Linked DNA regions of Bombyx mori. The protein of the gene in region 2 purifies or fractionates together with the protein of the main gene of each other region. This does not show direct contact. Links are inferred from orthologs where the notes say so. Each region holds a gene or a part of one and is shown on either strand. Other genes may lie near its edges.

The links.
Region 1: the proteins of rptor (region 2) and target of rapamycin complex subunit lst8 purify together in Homo sapiens (affinity purification with western blotting; 15 studies listed by BioGRID and IntAct, with this or other methods). This does not show direct contact. The link is inferred for Bombyx mori from reciprocal best matches to the Homo sapiens genes RPTOR and MLST8.

What each region holds. Positions count from the first base shown.
Region 1 is NC_085114.1:11,953,158-11,961,854, forward strand, and holds target of rapamycin complex subunit lst8, read right to left. Parts: upstream 4,491-8,697; 5' UTR 4,217-4,490; coding exon of another isoform or gene 4,085-4,216; 5' UTR 3,758-4,084; coding exon 3,575-3,757; intron 3,484-3,574; coding exon 3,334-3,483; intron 2,833-3,333; coding exon 2,771-2,832; intron 2,362-2,770; coding exon 2,208-2,361; intron 1,709-2,207; coding exon 1,518-1,708; intron 1,257-1,517; coding exon 914-1,256; 3' UTR 798-913; downstream 1-797. Other genes in the region: mobility group protein 1B, read right to left, coding at 7,599-7,667, 7,737-7,877, 7,957-8,106.
Region 2 is NC_085123.1:792,465-800,376, reverse strand, and holds part of rptor (regulatory-associated protein of TOR), read right to left. Parts: intron 5,835-7,912; coding exon 5,715-5,834; intron 4,968-5,714; coding exon 4,821-4,967; intron 4,422-4,820; coding exon 4,195-4,421; intron 2,848-4,194; coding exon 2,665-2,847; intron 2,315-2,664; coding exon 2,109-2,314; intron 1,846-2,108; coding exon 1,604-1,845; intron 1,414-1,603; coding exon 1,339-1,413; intron 1,098-1,338; coding exon 1,017-1,097; intron 919-1,016; coding exon 742-918; intron 89-741; coding exon 1-88. UniProt on the Homo sapiens protein: Component of the mechanistic target of rapamycin complex 1 (mTORC1), an evolutionarily conserved central nutrient sensor that stimulates anabolic reactions and macromolecule biosynthesis to promote cellular biomass generation and growth.

The DNA.
Region 1 (8,697 bases), on a different chromosome or scaffold from region 2:
ATAGTTATTTAGTTTTATTACACTAAAAATTGACGTCTTTTATATAATTGAATCCTAATGTTTTAAAAAAAAGTATTTAAATTTGACGTACAAGTACCTAGTTATAATATTATTAGTTTTAGTTTTGCATTTATGGAGATCTGATACAATATACCATAGTATTATGTACGCTATAAATAGATATATTGATGTTTCATGGGAGCTTGTAAATGTTCCATGAAATATGTATTTGTTGAACGAAATACACACTTTAAAAATGAAGTTGACTTGGTCATATTTTATTTACTTTTACAATCCATCTATACTGTTTAAACGCTCAGATACTTCTGTGAAATTACCTTAAATGTTTCAGATTTATAATACGATTTTTGTATCACTTATCTCACTTGCGAATGAATGTCATTTGCGTCCATTCCAATTATTATTGTTAATGCAACAATCACCTAGCTGAACCCTTCAGGGCGAACCTCGAGTCACCAGCTATCCTTCCATCCCAAAAAGGCGATGTAATGAAAACGATAAAAGTAGCTTTACTTTAGTTCATTAACATACAATTACCATCGCTTTCTCGAAGTAATTACAAACACAATACAATAAACAATACAAATAATAATTCAAAAACTATTATTTATTTTCTGCCTGCTACATGCTACTTTGTTGGCCATGTGCATTGCTAGTGTTTAAGCACTATTTTTTGACAAATAATATAACCAGTAATAAAAATTATAAAATTAAAAATAGTGTTTATTTTTATAAAAATATACATTTACACTTTTTATGAAGAAAAAAACCATTAATGCTATGTAATCATTTATTCAATTAAAAATTAATTCAATTATTATATTATTTACAACTTTATTATTTATTTATTTAAACTTTATAATCATCCCAAATTATTTTAAACCATATCTATTCAAACAGGTTGATCTTTAAACGCGAGTGCTGTGATGGCTTTCTGATGACCGCAGTACTCCCGTTCAAGCGTGCCACGCTCAATGTTCCATAATCGAGCATAACTATCCGATGAACCTGTAAATAACAAAATAAAATTATCTGGTTTTTTTAAACTTTGAAAAAATTGACTGGGTTGCCAGGAAATTGAAAATGTCTTACCAGTGAATAAAAATCGAGAATCAAGCGTAAAGGCTGCGTCCCAGACCCATCGCTGCGTGTCGCGCCGTAGCTCTCGCAACAGCGCCCAGTCGCTCGTGCGCCAGATCTTGGCCGAGCAGTCGCCCGACGTCGTCACCAACATGCTATTATCACATTAGTCAGATATTAAACATTTTCTAAGTTACTATACTTATTGCCTTACTTATGCCTTGCTTTCTTGCTTGCCTTGCTTTACTTATGATAGAAGAGTATGGAAGGAGAAAACATGTTGCGCTGACCCCGGGTGACTGGGAGAAGGGCAGGATAATGATGATTGCCAAGATAAACTCATTTAATAAACACATGCAACATCTAATGTCTTAAAGTTGATTTTAACTGAAATGCTGTAACATCTCCAAACTCACGTTGAATCTGGGCTAAATTTACACCGTAAAGCATATTTAGAATGTGCAGTAATGTGTTTTTTGGGCACAGGGTGCGGTGGTTGTCCGCTCAACGACCACACGTAGCAGTTGCCCTTGTTATTAACAGCCGCCATCATCTTGCCGGCTGGATCAATAGCTATGTCCTGAATCGACGCCTCCGCTTCTGGTATCTAACAAAAATAAGGATAAATAGTATAATATTTATGTGTAACATGTAAATGAAATAAACATGGTTTATTTAAATTGAATTATGTGGTTGGACAGGCACTTGGCTAATGATTGATCAATTACTAGAGCTTATCAATAAAACATAAATGCTCAAAACTGATGATTGTTTCGTGGAAAAAAAAAGGTAGGATGGTGGTCCATACACAAGTGGGTTTATAATACATCCAACCATCAATCAACCTATTAAGGACAGCAGAAATATGTTATAATATACAGAAAATACTACTGGCCATTCTCTAGTAAATACCTCAGTAGCCTTTCTATATATCCATTATGAGCATATTGGTGATATCATGTTGGCATCAGCTTTTTATGCAGGAACACTACTGAATAGGATGCGGAGATAGAGTGTTCCTTTCACTTTTGTAGCTCACCACAACATACTGTATTATAGCTTCTCAGCTGATAGTGGATGTAAAAAAATATATATAGTAAAGTTACCAGTTGTTCATTTTGATCCGTTTTCAGATCCCATATATGTATAATGCCACTCTGGTCTCCAACCATTATCTGGGACTGATCAGGATGAAGCATTACTGCATTCACCGGAGCTTGAACTTGGAATATCTTTTGACACCTTGTACGTGGTGCAGCCCTACATGAGAAACATGCCGCTTTAAAATTTCTATACTAAGCTTTCTAGGTCCAGTCAGTAAATTGTGTTTTTAAACTCAATAAAAGTTAAAGTTTAATTTCAGAGATCAGCAGACAACCTCATGGTCTCCTAGTGTAAATAGTTATTAGCTTCTATGATCTAAATTTTGATTTTATTCCATAACCATTAGCATTACACTTGACAGCTTTAAAGCAGGAATCATATCTTCATACCACCAGTAAATATCAGTTGGTGAATCTTTTATAATAAGCACGAATATAACGAATGATATAAGGTGCTGCATTGTCATCTAGCATCAGAGAAACCTCCAAACATCATTTGGCCAAGGTTAGAAAACACAAATGATGTTACCTAATAACTGGTTGATATAATACATAGCGTCTTTAACCTGGGATCCCATATCCTGGCTGTGCAGTCCTCACCTCCTGTGTACATCCAAGTGCCATTTTTCTGCAAAGTTACAATTTAAAAAAAAAAAAAATTAATGACTTGTCTTATTGTAATAGATGTGTTCACAAATTAAATATCCAATCATAAATATACATAGTTTTTTTTTTTTCTAAAAGATAACAATCTTGAAAAGTTGTTTGAAAATGAATAACTGATTTTAACATCAGTTTTTGTTTAAAAACTGCATGTCGACACAATTTGTGTGTTTTTCAAATTGTTGCCCTAGAAATAATTATAATCTCAAAGATTTATAGTAATTCCTATGCCAGTGAGATCTCAAATATTTAAAGGACACTGAAGATCCAGTTTCAACTGAATGAGTTTTGAACTGAGAAAAGAAATATATTTTTTTTTCTATTCCTGGCAAATATTTAGAGACATATATTAAAGACACGTACTTCCTGTAGTTTACTGTCAGTGACACCTAGGTCACAAATAATCTACCTGAAGGTCATGTATATATTGTTTTCAACAAATTTTAATTGAATTTATGCATAATACCTGAAACCCAACTCGAGATACGTTTTTGGAGATGTCCTCAAAAGTTGTGACCGGGTCTGGATTGGCACTACTAAGATCATATAACCGTATATGCTGAAATCCAGCTGCTGCTACCATCGATGTTGGTGAGATCTCCAAGCTGTTCACTTGCTGAAAGGAAAACTCGTCATGCAATAAGCTTTAGCTGATTTTCATAATATAATCAGTTTGTAAAAATATCACGAAAGTTAATTTAAGTTACCTCACAAAAGATGACTGGCATGTTAATCTGAATTATATTTGTACAAAGTGGTCTGCTTGTATTAAATCTTAGCTCACAATTATCTGACACTGTCGTGACCAGTTTTAATCGTTTAGGTAATTCTCTTTTTTTGGACATTTTTGCAACTTTACAGGAGAGCCATTTAAAGTTTAAAATTCTCATAATAAAAAAAGTCCATCAGCTATTTGGATGCAGTAAGCTTAATTGATGTTCAATCAAAAACATTGAATTGGTGATAGTTAATACCAAATAAAATGGACCTTTAATTACAAAGATAAATGTCGCGTATTAATCGAAATATCGCTTAATTCAAATAGCCTTTCAGCCCTCGTTATTATTCAAAGCGAAATTTCCAAATCAATTTTTTATGAAAATTTAAAATAATCATGCAAATTTACGGAGCGATTTGAATGAGTTATCTGGAAATGAATTGAGTCATTTTGGTCATTTATAGAAGATCAATAACCGAAACATTAAAATATGAAGTACCGAATCTGGATGCTGCATTGTTCGTAAACAAACACCACTGTGTGCCTGCCATAGCTTGATAGTATGATCGTAGCCTCCTGTTACTAAAGCCACCTGCGATCCTCCAAGAGAAGCAGTGGTATCACCAGCCATTTTATGAAACTTATTGTTTAAGCAATTGGCATATTTATTTCTTAAAAGCACATTTTTTTATTTCCAACTGCCAGGTAATTTTGAAATTTCGGATTTTAATTTTTAATTTCGAACTTTCCGAGCAACATAAATCTTGTATGATGTGATATAATCTACGTTATACTTGAACCGAATTATCGGGGCGCTTTTAATATTACTGTAAATTCTAACTAATGCATCTCATAAAGTCAAAACATAACCAAAACAACACAGCACAGGTAATTCAAAGTTGAATGAAGTTAGCCACTCAAAAAAATTTTTTTTTCCTATTTTATACTTATTTTCTATTAATTCGTTTGTTCATCATTTGTTCATGATTGTTCACTGTTAATAATTGTTTGTTCTGCATTTATTTATTTAAAAAAAATATTTAAAAATATACCTACAAGTTAGCCCCTCTAATGCAATTTTTTATATTTTTTCATCCTTAATGACTCGTAAATATTCATTTTCGATTGTTCTTATATAAAACACGTTTGTCCTCTTTCGAAATTACTCGTTTTTTGTTTAATTTACTATTTTTATTAGTTGAATAAATGTATGCAAAATATGTGTACTGCGCATGCGTCAACTATAATGCCTAAACTTTCCACGCGGTTTTAATCGTAAAAAAAAAACAAATATAAATCCTGAAGGAGCAATTAATTGGTATACAGTTTAATTAAAAAAATTAAAAAATAAATAAATGAAATAATGTGCATTGGCGTTAAGTTAGACCAAATACATTTTTTCCATCCTCTTACCTATCGTATTAAAATGTTATTTTACTAATGTTAGGAATATAATTTCGACTGTGTAAAAAAGTTATTATAATGTATACCTATATTATCTCTTGAAAGATAAATAATGAACATATTTACTTATTTGTTTATATTACCTATGTGAACTCCCTATCTTTTTTATACCTTCATAACGATAAGTAGGAGGATGGAAAAAATGTATTTGGTCTAACTTAACGCCAATACACATTATTTCATTTATTTCTTTTTTAATTTTTTTAATTAAACTGTATACCAATTAATTGCTCCTTCAGGATTTATATTTGTTTTTTTTTCACGATTAAAACCGCGTAGAAAGTTTAGGCATTATAGTTGACGCATGCGCAGTACACATATTTTGCATACATTTATTCAACTAATAAAAATAGTAAATTAAACAAAAAACGAGTAATTTCGAAAGAGGACAAACGTGTTTTATATAAGAACAATCGAAAATGAATATTTACGAGTCATTAAGGATGAAAAAATATAAAAAATTGCATTAGAGGGGCTAACTGGTAGGTATATTTTTAAATATTTTTTTTTAAATAAATAAATGCAGAACAAACAATTATTAACAGTGAACAATCATGAACAAATGAATTAATAGAAAATAAGTATAAAATAGGAAAAAAAAATTTTTTGAGGGGCTAACTTCATTCACCTGACTTGAATCACATTTTCTTTGGATGCCTCCTACGTGACTGTTCCTCATTCATAAATTCCCTGATAAACCTCCGAGTTCCTCTTCCCACATCAATCCCTACATTATTAATAATATTAAAATGTAAACAGTTTTAAAATATAATATTCTTTTTATTTATACCCAATCACTATATATTATGAACTCTTAGGCATTATTATATATTATTATCCTATTACGTACATATCCTTTCCAAATTTCGAACCTTCCAATTGATTCCTAAATAAAACTGGTTTCCCTACCTTTTCCACACTAGTAGTGGCAAATGCACAAACCGTGCGAGTCAAAATATAAAAAAAATAAAAAATACATGCTTCCATCTTGAGGTTTTTTCTTGTTAATCTTTCGTATTTTAATAAGAAACAACATCTTGGTACCTAGATTATGAAACTAAAACATATCAAGAAATTATTTTCATGTTAATCCAACCTTAAAAATTGATAATCAAGGAATTGCATACCTATCAAGTTTCTGATATAGGTACAAGCCCAGACCCAAAATCTTGAGACAAGTACTGCATCAGATCAAATATTAGGTATCAAATTGAAATACAGAACTAGGTACCTATCTAATGGATGCAGTCTTACATGGTCAGTTTGACTAGTCATAATATTAATTCTCAATAGTATGAGTATTCTAAGATGGGATCAATCACGAACTAGATTTAAGTAATTAATGTAGGTACCCACCTACATTTTATACCCTCAAGACTTCTAGTAAAGTCTATGTTCAGTTCCATCCCTAAAGTACGATAACAGTTCTTTTAACTTGGTCGAAAATATTTATACCTGCTACGAAAATTAGTGTCTATATATGACCAATGACCTATTACTGAAACTGCAAATCCAATCAGCCAGGTTGCTCAGTTACTAACCTATGTATGAACTGAAATTAAAACACTAATTATAAGAAATTACTTTATTGAACATGTAAAATCCGTATTGACATGAGGAATGCTAATTCTCATTTACAATATAACACAAATGTAAAATTTGAGAGACAAATCACATCGACAACCTACCTATAACTAACTAAAATACAACATACACATGAATTTCTTAAGATTATTTTTATGGTAATGCCACAAATCTATGCTAGAATTCACCTGAAAGGCGAGTCTCAAGATTAAAATGACACTTATGTGGTATAGTTTTATAATATGCATAAGTCCTAAATAAAGCCACGAGGTAACCTCGACAAATGCTTAAGCTTATTGTTTGGTACCATTATTAGCAATGAATTTACAATGAAGAGGTAGGTTTGAACAAGCGGGTGCAATATCCTTCCAAGGAGTAGACATTATAATAAGTCTCTAATTTTACATATTGATAGTTACACCAAAACTTATGTCCAATAGTTCAGCATTAAAATAAAACTGAATCGATATAAAATAATTCATAAAAAGCACAGCTTTAATTAGATATTGGTGCAGACATAGAAGTTTTGATAAAACCAGTCAAAAGTATATCTCAAAATAAGCATCCACAAAGTCACAGCGAACTTAACGAGGGAGGGCTAACTGTACAATTCCCTGGTGAAATACATGCTAACACTTACACATTATTTTTTTGAGGCTTAGAAACCTAGACCCTAGTGTGCGGCAAAACTTTCCAAACTCTGCATCTTATTTTATATCTATCATAACTAACACTACAATATCAAGAAAATTAAAGGAATATTGAATCAAGAAATGAATTATTTAATTGCATTTTATAAACAAAATACCAGTTGCAGTTAAAGATGATTCCAACTCTCATTAAATGTTAATCAAAATCAATGTCAAATGCATTTCATACAGACTTTGGAAAGTCAGTCCCGTTTTACTTTGTAATAAATTAAGTCCTTATTCAATATGAACAGTAATGTCTTAAGGTTTGGGAGATCATTCACTTTCTTCTTCCTCCTCCTCACCTTCCTCTTCCTCAGACTCTTCCTTCTTTTTCTTGGATTTCTGCAATAAAATAATTGTTGTTTAAAGATTCAACAAATGCTTTTAATATTGAAGAATTTGTTTACTCACAGCAGCAGCAGTTTTCTTGCCCTTTTTCCCTCGTTTTTGAGCCTTCTTTTCGCCCCCTTCGCCACCACCGCCATTGGCATTGTAAGATTCTAGGTCTTTTGCATATTGCTCCTTGGCCTTGGCAGCTTTCTGTTCCCATTCCTAAAGTAATTTCAATTATGAATCTCTATTGTAACGCGCTAGATAATAAATCACATTTTATTTCAATCATTGTACTTACAGTTTTGTCTTTCATTGATTTCCAAATTTCACCGCCTTTTTTGGCTATTTCGGTTACTCTTAAGCCAGGATTTTCAGATTTTATCTGTTCCCTCGCGCTGTTTAACCACAGCATGTATGCGGACATAGGACGCTTCGGCTTGTCCGTCATTTTGACTTTTTTCCTGGAAGAAATACCATGCTCTCTAAAAAATACTTCGCTTCCCACAAGGCAGCAGGTTCAAAGAGTCACGTTTTACGAACTTCAAGCTCTAGACGGTCTACGCACTGCTTATACGGTGTAACAGGGCGTCATTTTGGCGGGAAACGTATTTAGGCCATTTAGGACCAAGATTGTAACAGTAGCCATAAATAATATTTAATCAATATGAAAACCTACGAATTAGACTAACATATTCGTATCCATAACAGCATAAAACATCTAAAATAGTTATCGCCCCATTAACGAGTTCACTGTCCTAGGCTTGGGTCGAACGAGCCATTTTGTTTTCACGAATTATGTAGAAAATACGCAATATCTTTAAAGGACAGGATTACCAAATAATCCTTTGATTATTAAACTAAAACTTGTAGAAGAACTGTTAGGGTCACTCAATGGAAAAGATCCGAGAAATTAATTATTGAAATAAGGCGTCACTCTCCTTACCCACGCGTACCAAGGAAAGTACGGCGATGCATATAGCCATGTTTGAATGCGAATTCCAACGTGGAATGAAAATAAATCCTATGAATCAAGGCTTGA
Region 2 (7,912 bases):
GGTCCAGCGCGTTGGCCTGCTCGCAGCGCCCGGCGCCGCCGCACCACCACACGAACGAGCCCAGCGCGAAGGCGCACGCCGCGCGGACCTGCCGCCGCAACATCGTCACATCAACTATTCTTTTTTTTTATTGCTTAAATGGGTGGACGAACTCACAGCCCAGCTGGTTGTTAAGTGGTTACTGGAGCCTATAGACATCTACAACGTAAATGCGCCACCCACCTTGAGATATGAGTTCTAAGGTTTCAAGTATAGTTACAATGGCTGCTCCACCCTTCAAACCGAAACGCATTACTGCTTCACAACAGAAATAGGCAGGGCGGTGGTACTTACTACCACCAGTAAATAAAACCAGTAATTACCACCAATAAAGTTCTTTTAAAACTTAATAAAGCCCCTTAATAAAACTTAATAAAAAAATAAAAATAAACTAATAGAAGGTAAAGAGAAATCGCTTACAGAGTCGAAAATGTTGCTGACAAACGAGCACGACTTGTAAAGCGTACAAAAGCACGTCGCGAGTTAGTACGCTTTACATTACAGGCCGACGAATATGAATATAAGCAAGCAATACTAGGACCCCGTCACAGTAGCACTGAAACTATTCATGTGATGTTTATAAGCCTTGTCAACCTTGTTCGTCACGTGGGCCGTGGGCTCGTCTACCCGGGCACACAATAGTGTAGGAGCATGGACAGCTGCTCCGTGACGGCCCCCTCGAGGGGGGTAACGTATCAGTACCTCAGGCTCAGAATGCTCAAGGAGCGGGAACAGTTTCTCGTGCGCGAGATCTCTGACTCCCGTCCATCGCGCCGCCTCGAACCCGCGCCACAGCCGGCCCAGGCTGATGCAGATCCACTGGGCCAGTACCGGCTCCCTGTCGCCGAGCTGCTCGAGGCATATCGATATCATTGAGCCCTGCCAATCGAAATTTTCATTTAGTTTCATTTCTTACGTACGTCTTGCAGCAGCTGACCGTAGATACACAACACATGCGATGCGGTCCGAGGGCTCACCTGCAGCGCGGCCTCCTGCCCCGCCGGGTAGCCGTCCACGATGCCAGCCAGCACGTAGGCGGCCAGGGTGCGGTGCTCGCTCTGCAGAAACGGAACTATTTCAATGGAAGATGATCCTGATTGAATGCTACGTGCATGGCCCTAGTGTCGCAGGCTATAAGATTGAAACAATTGGAAAGTGTAGTCCACGGGCTCTGATAGACAATCAATCCCATATGAACTATAAGCTCGTCTATCAATTTAGTGTATAGTGTACTTTTCAATCCCATTGTCTTGCGTACCCTCCCCCCCGCGCGGCGTGCACCTTGCTGCGGGTACTTACGTCGACTGTAGGGTCTTGCAGTACGGACAGGAAGTACGTGTGCCCTTTAGCGTTGACTAGGTCCGCTTGACAGCTCTGAAACAATTAATGATTAATTAAGTACAATTAAGAAATACCATTTCGTTTCGTTCTGCACTCAAAATATGTGTAAAAGCATTAATACCGTTTAATTTGCATTTACACTATTTGATTCGCTGAAATTGCCAGCACTTGTTTTTTTGGCCGAGGGAATATAAAATGAACGAAATGTATAAGTAATACAAACCGGATCGACCGCGATGATCCTGGCCCAGATGTAGACCATGGAGGCGCGCAGCACCGGCGCGGAGGCCTGCAGCAGCTTGAGCATGTAGGGGAATATCCCGACGGCCAGCATGGCGCGCACCGCCCACGCGCCCAGCGCCAGGAACCGGCACAGCAGCTGCAGCGCGCGCACCCGGTGCAGCGTGCTCAGCAGCACCTGCAGCACCATCGGCAGCTGCTCCGGCACGCCGCGCCCGCCGCACCCTGCAGCGCACTCTCCCTCACTCTCTCTCTCGCTCCCTCTCCCTCCCTCCCCTAAACTACACTATACCAGTCATAGACAACGGCCTGGCTATTGCTGACCATGAGCACCGGTAACCACTCACCATCAAGTGAGCCGTATTATACTCGCTTGCGGTATTATTTTGGGATTGTTTACAGGCCCCGCAGGCCGGCCCGCCCCCGCGAGCTGCTGTCCATGCGCTACCAAGTGCTGCCGGTTACCACGGTTTCTAGTAAGCACTCACATTTACCGAGATCTAGCCAGACTTGGAAGGCGGTGAGCTGATCCCTGAAGAACGGCGAGTGGGAGTAATCCAGCGGATGTGGAGCCGAAGATAACGTGACCAGCTGGGCCAGCGCCGAGTCCAGGGTCTGCTCCCACGCCGCCCACAGCGGGTGCGCGGCCAGTGACGGCAGCGCCGGACTGCTCACGGGGGTGCAGTTGTATGATCTAGGAGTATGCAAGTAAGGGTGGATTTTCCAAAACATTATATTAATAGGAATGTAAAATATGTATTTATTATTTTCTATATTGCATTTTGGGCGCAGCAACAAATAGTTAAATGAAGAATGTTGTTTGTTACAAAGTGTCAATGACATGCAAAGGACAATACCCAAAAATGTCAAATGTCCTTTATTCTCAATAATATAACAATATAAAATAACAAAAAAAATATTAATCTACTACTGTAATTAAAAGTTCAGAAGTTTTATACAGCCTCGCAGAGTTCTTAGTTCTGATCGGTTACGAGACATCACAATGCTATCGTGGTGGGCCCCACCAGCTGTAAAAGCACCAACCTCATAATCCTGTCGGCGAGTAAGAAGTTCCTGCAGAGGCTGGCCGTCAGCAAGTCGGCCCTGAACAGCTGCTGGAAGAGGTCGGCGGGCAGCGAGCTCCAGGCGATGGTGTCGGTGATGGCCGTGAAGATCCAGTTCAGTTCGCCCAGCATGGTGCGGCGGTCCGTCACTTGGCCAGGGATCCTGGACAACAAATTCAATGTACTTTAAAAACTAATTACACACGCTTTCATATGAAAAACTGAATACAAATTTAAGTAATAATTTTTTAGTTCAGTGCTCCTGGTCAGCATATCCCGATATCAAAGTAACAAGACTGTAGTCTCGTTATCTCCCCTTGGTGCGCGCGTAACTATCCAAGCTGATCTGAGGTCGTGGAGCCGGGTCGTTGCATTGAGGTTTCATCACATATATGAGTCGTCTATTATCAAAGGTGGCAATCTGTGCATTTGGACAAAAAAATGTTATTGATATGTCAATACAGATTGATTTGAATACAATCGTCTCCTTCAAAGAATACGGTTCAAAACCTGCATTAAATAAAGGTTAATACTTAACCTGTTATTTATCTAAGATGTCGTTCAGAAGAGTTTTGTGACTGCCAATGGAATACAAAGTCAATAATTCGTTTTTCTGATTTACCAATAATTGTCCAAAAGTCACATTGCCGGCTTTGATAATAGTCGACTCACATACATGTCGAAGACTGTCATTAGTTTGGTAGCTAAACGAAACGCAGTACGATTCCCGAGAGATGGCAGCACGATCGCGATGGAGGCGCGTATAGACATCATTGACACCTACCAACCAGCCTTCTTGAAGAGCGATGCCTCCATTCTAAGAACTGGCATTCGTTTTCGTTTGCTGACGTCAAGAGAAGATTTCTAAATTGTTCTAAGACAACAAACGTGTTTTATGTACTCAATATTTCTTTTAGCTCGATCACCCTATTCGCCCCTACGATGTCTGACGATGGTGTTAATAATGCGGTTTCTCCGACATACATATCGATACAGGTCAAGCTGATAAAAATCTGTTGTCAATAACCGACTGCACAGTAGGGATGGCGATTCGAGATCGATTAATCGAAGGATCGATTTCTCGAACCAAAAAAAATATCGATTTTTAAATCGATATGTAGTTCTGACTCGATTCAGTGAATCGATATTTTACCCTTGATATTTCACCCAACTGCACAGACTTCTGTAACTATTCGAACACAATTACTCACGCAAGACTACTCATGGCTAGAAGCGTACATGGCCTAATAGATAAGACGCCCAGTGTACTTGTAGCCTGCAAACATGTCATTGATCAACCCTGTTTGCCTTAGGCCAATACAAATTTTTCTTAAAGTTATTCATCATTTTTATATAGTAAAAATATATTATACTGTGATAATTACACCATAAAATGAATCTCTTGTTCGATTTTTACATGACTTGAATACTACAGTGGAACTGCGAATGTCCACAGGCAACTGTTATCACCGAGCACCACCACAACACGAGATTAAGAGACGATACTGACTTATCGATGAGGTCGTGCAGGTCCCTGTCGGCGTATCTGGTCCGGGTCCTCAGCACGAACCACTTCATGGCAGTCTTGACCGGCGTGGTGAGGCAGGCCGTGAACAGGTCCGCGGGCAGCTCCGGGTTCATGGGCAGGCTCTGTCCGGCGGCGCAGGCGGCCAGCTGGATGCAGTTCTTGTACGAGACCTGAGGGATGCTCGAAGTGCCTTCTTCATTCTTCTGAGCCTGTCCACAAATGATGAATTAAAACTGTGTATCTCAACTTTTTCACCTACAATGTTGTCACCCTATGAAGCGTTCACATGAACCCTACATAGTACTGATAAAACAGATTACCATATTATTGTTTCTGTAGCAAATGCTCTAGTTTTACTTAGTATGAATATCGAAGGGTGACGGGTTATAGAGATATTTAAACGAAGTTTTTGCAACCTTAAGAAGAGTCACTTAAAGTTTAAAATTTGGAAAAAAAATCCTAATTAAACTTAATTCAAGGTCAATTAAAAACATCGAACTGTTGATGCTATTACTAAATAAAACACACTTTTAATTACAAAGATAAACATCGTTCAAACGAATTAGCCTTTCACCCCCTTGGTTTAACAAATATCATATAGCAGATACCTCGTACTCCCTCTCGTGTTGATCAGCAAACAACTTGAAGCTGTCGACAATGATGCCGGCGTTGGAGCAGTCGTACACGTAGAGCGAGGGCGCGCCCATCCACGTCTGCAGGTCGTACATCGACAGCGGGATGTACTGGGTGTAAGTCTGGGGACAAATACCTTAGTTTTATTTTTTAGTTTGGTTTTTATTAATTTGTGACATCTAAAGATGTCGGCGCAACGTCACTATTTAGTAACTAATATTAGTTAAAGTTAACTGGTTCCGCTGGATGGCGTGAGCATTAAAATAGGTACGTTGAGATTTTCATCTGAAACTTCAAGATGAGTGGCATCTTTCTACTTACGTGTACTGTCTCATCTGTTATCTGCACAAGTTTGCCTAGTTCTGAACTTTTTATTTATTGCTTATATGGGTGGACGAGCTCACGGCCCACCTGGTGTTAAGTGGTTACAGGAGCCAATAGATATCTACAATGTCATCAAATGCCACCACTCACCTTGCGATATGAATTCTAAAGTCTCCGAAACGCATTACTGCTTCATGGCAGAAACAGGCGGGGTGGTTGTACCTACCTGTGCGGACTCACAAGACTTTCTACCACCAGTAACATTGAGCGGTTTCTTTTATTTTGTATATCAAATCTAATGAAACCATGCATTTTTCAAATGCGTACTTAAAAATTTTCAAGTGTGTATCGTATTGTGATCGCCATTTTTTCATTATTAAAAACTAAGTTTTTTTTTATTGCCCTTGCAGGTAGACGAGCATACGGCCCACCTGAAGGTGAGTGGTTACCGTCGCCCATGGATTTCAGCAATGCCAGGGGCAGAGCCAAGCCGCTGCCTACAAAATTAAAGCCGCTGTCTAAATTGATTACAATTAAAAACTCACCCTATTAAAGACCCAGATCTCTCCCTGCGCCGTCGGCTTGGGTACGCCGTGTCCGTTGTAATGAAAAAGCACGCGTTCATCTTTCGCGTTACGTCGCAGAGAGCAGCACAACTTTTTTACCTGTAAAACCAAACAATGAGTTACTTTTTGTACGACTTACGACCACCTTACAACCGATAGACGTAAATGAAGATGAAAAAAAAGGTTCGTATTCAATTTTATAAATTAATCCGGATAATCGTATATTGAATAAAGGCTTTTTTTCTTACATATGCTACTAGCCTCGAAGAATTATACTAGCTTCACCAAACGTGTAGGTAAGCTCACGGGACTCAGCCTGGCGAATTTGCTAACACTAACCCTAACAAGGGAAGTGCTTCGCTGAATCTATCACTGGATCGGAATCGCGACCTACTAAGAAGATCCGCCGAGAAACTCATTGAACTGACCTACTAAGAAGATCCGCCGAGAAACTCATTGAACTGACTTACTAAGAAGATCCGCCGAGAAACTCATTGAACTATGTCTGCGGGTTAGTTCGAACTCTTCGTATGACGAGAACAGTAGCCAGTGCTTGTTGGGCCTAAAAGAGCCGAGAGTGGATCCGGGAGATCAGACGTTATATTTTAATTTAAAGCTTATGCTTATACAGTTTCGACAAGCTCGCCGGGCGCGGCGTCTGCTATCATAATTATTATTGAGCGATGGCAGCACATCCGAAACTTCTCTTAGAAGGCGCTTGCACTCTTAATCTTGGAAACACAGTTACTGGATTGACAAGCAAGTTTTTTTGGGTAAAATTAACTTAAAATATACATTAATCTATTTACAATTATAATTTTTATGACGACATTTTTTTTCAGCGACACTGGGTTTTTGAGATTGATAAATCGAGAATTTTTCTGCGTAATACCCTCTTAACCGGACTTGACAACCCTAACGACCTGTACTGCATCCAAGTCGAGCGATTACTGTGTCCCCGATGATCTAAATCATCACTGCGAAAATGTGTACAGTGTGTTTAGGGCGAGTTTTTTAACTTCTCGCAGCAAACGAAGGGAAGACGTTCCAACTCCATACAAATTTGAGTTAACTTTTGCGCGATCGAAAAGTTAAAAAACTCGCACTAAACACACTTATCGATAGTTGTCCCTGACCAATAAAACTATTAATAAAAAGGTTGGAATTAAATTATAAAGTTGTTAAAATAGTTTTTTTTTGTGACGAATAAATTCCTAGTTTTGCGGCATTAAAAATATATGAAAAAACACGCGATCGGTGCAAAATCTTATTTTTATTGGAGGTGTATGATCATAGCAACGTGTCATTTCATATAATACCTACGAAACGCGCATAAATAAAGTCTGTATAAACAGAAGGTGACATCGGAAAGACCGAAATAAAACGCCGGTCACGGTGTGAATCATACGTTGATTCACAAAAACACGAAGAGCGCAATTAGAATCAATGAATTTTTTTTGCATTTGTACTGATATTAAGTCCAAAAAACTACGGTAATGACAGAGAAGACGTAAACGTAAATAGAGCACCTGCTGTGTTGCAAAACGTACACGTGTGACCTCTTGTCACACCTCTTGTGGGTCCGCACGGGTAGGTACCACCGCCTTGCCTATTTCTGCCGTGAAGCATTAATGCGTTTCGGTTTGAGGGTGGGACAGCCGTTGTAACTATATTGAGACCTTAGAACTTATATCTCAAGGTGGGTGGCGCATTTACGTTGTAGATGTCTATGGGCTCCAGTAACCACTTAACACCAGGTGGGCTGTGAGCTCGTCCTTAGATGGGTATCTAAGGAATAAAAAAATAAAAATAAACCCTGAAAAAGACCAAACACGCGTTTATTTTACGATTTCCGAGACAAAAGTGTCTAAAATTATTTACGAACTGGTCTAATTAAAATCGCATTTCATTTTTGATGTTTTCAATCTTAAAACACCAGTATAATATATTTTTAAATTATGTTGTTATAACTGAAAATTTCAAGTATATTAGCGCTTTAGTTTTTTTTTATTGGATTTTTTTTTATTGCTTTGCTGGGTGGACGATCTCACAGCCCACCTGATGTTAAGTGGTTACTGGAGCCCAAAGACATCTACAAAGTAAATGTGCCACCAACCATGAGATATAAGTTTTAAAATCTCAGTATAATTACAACGGCTGCCCCACCCTCAAACCGA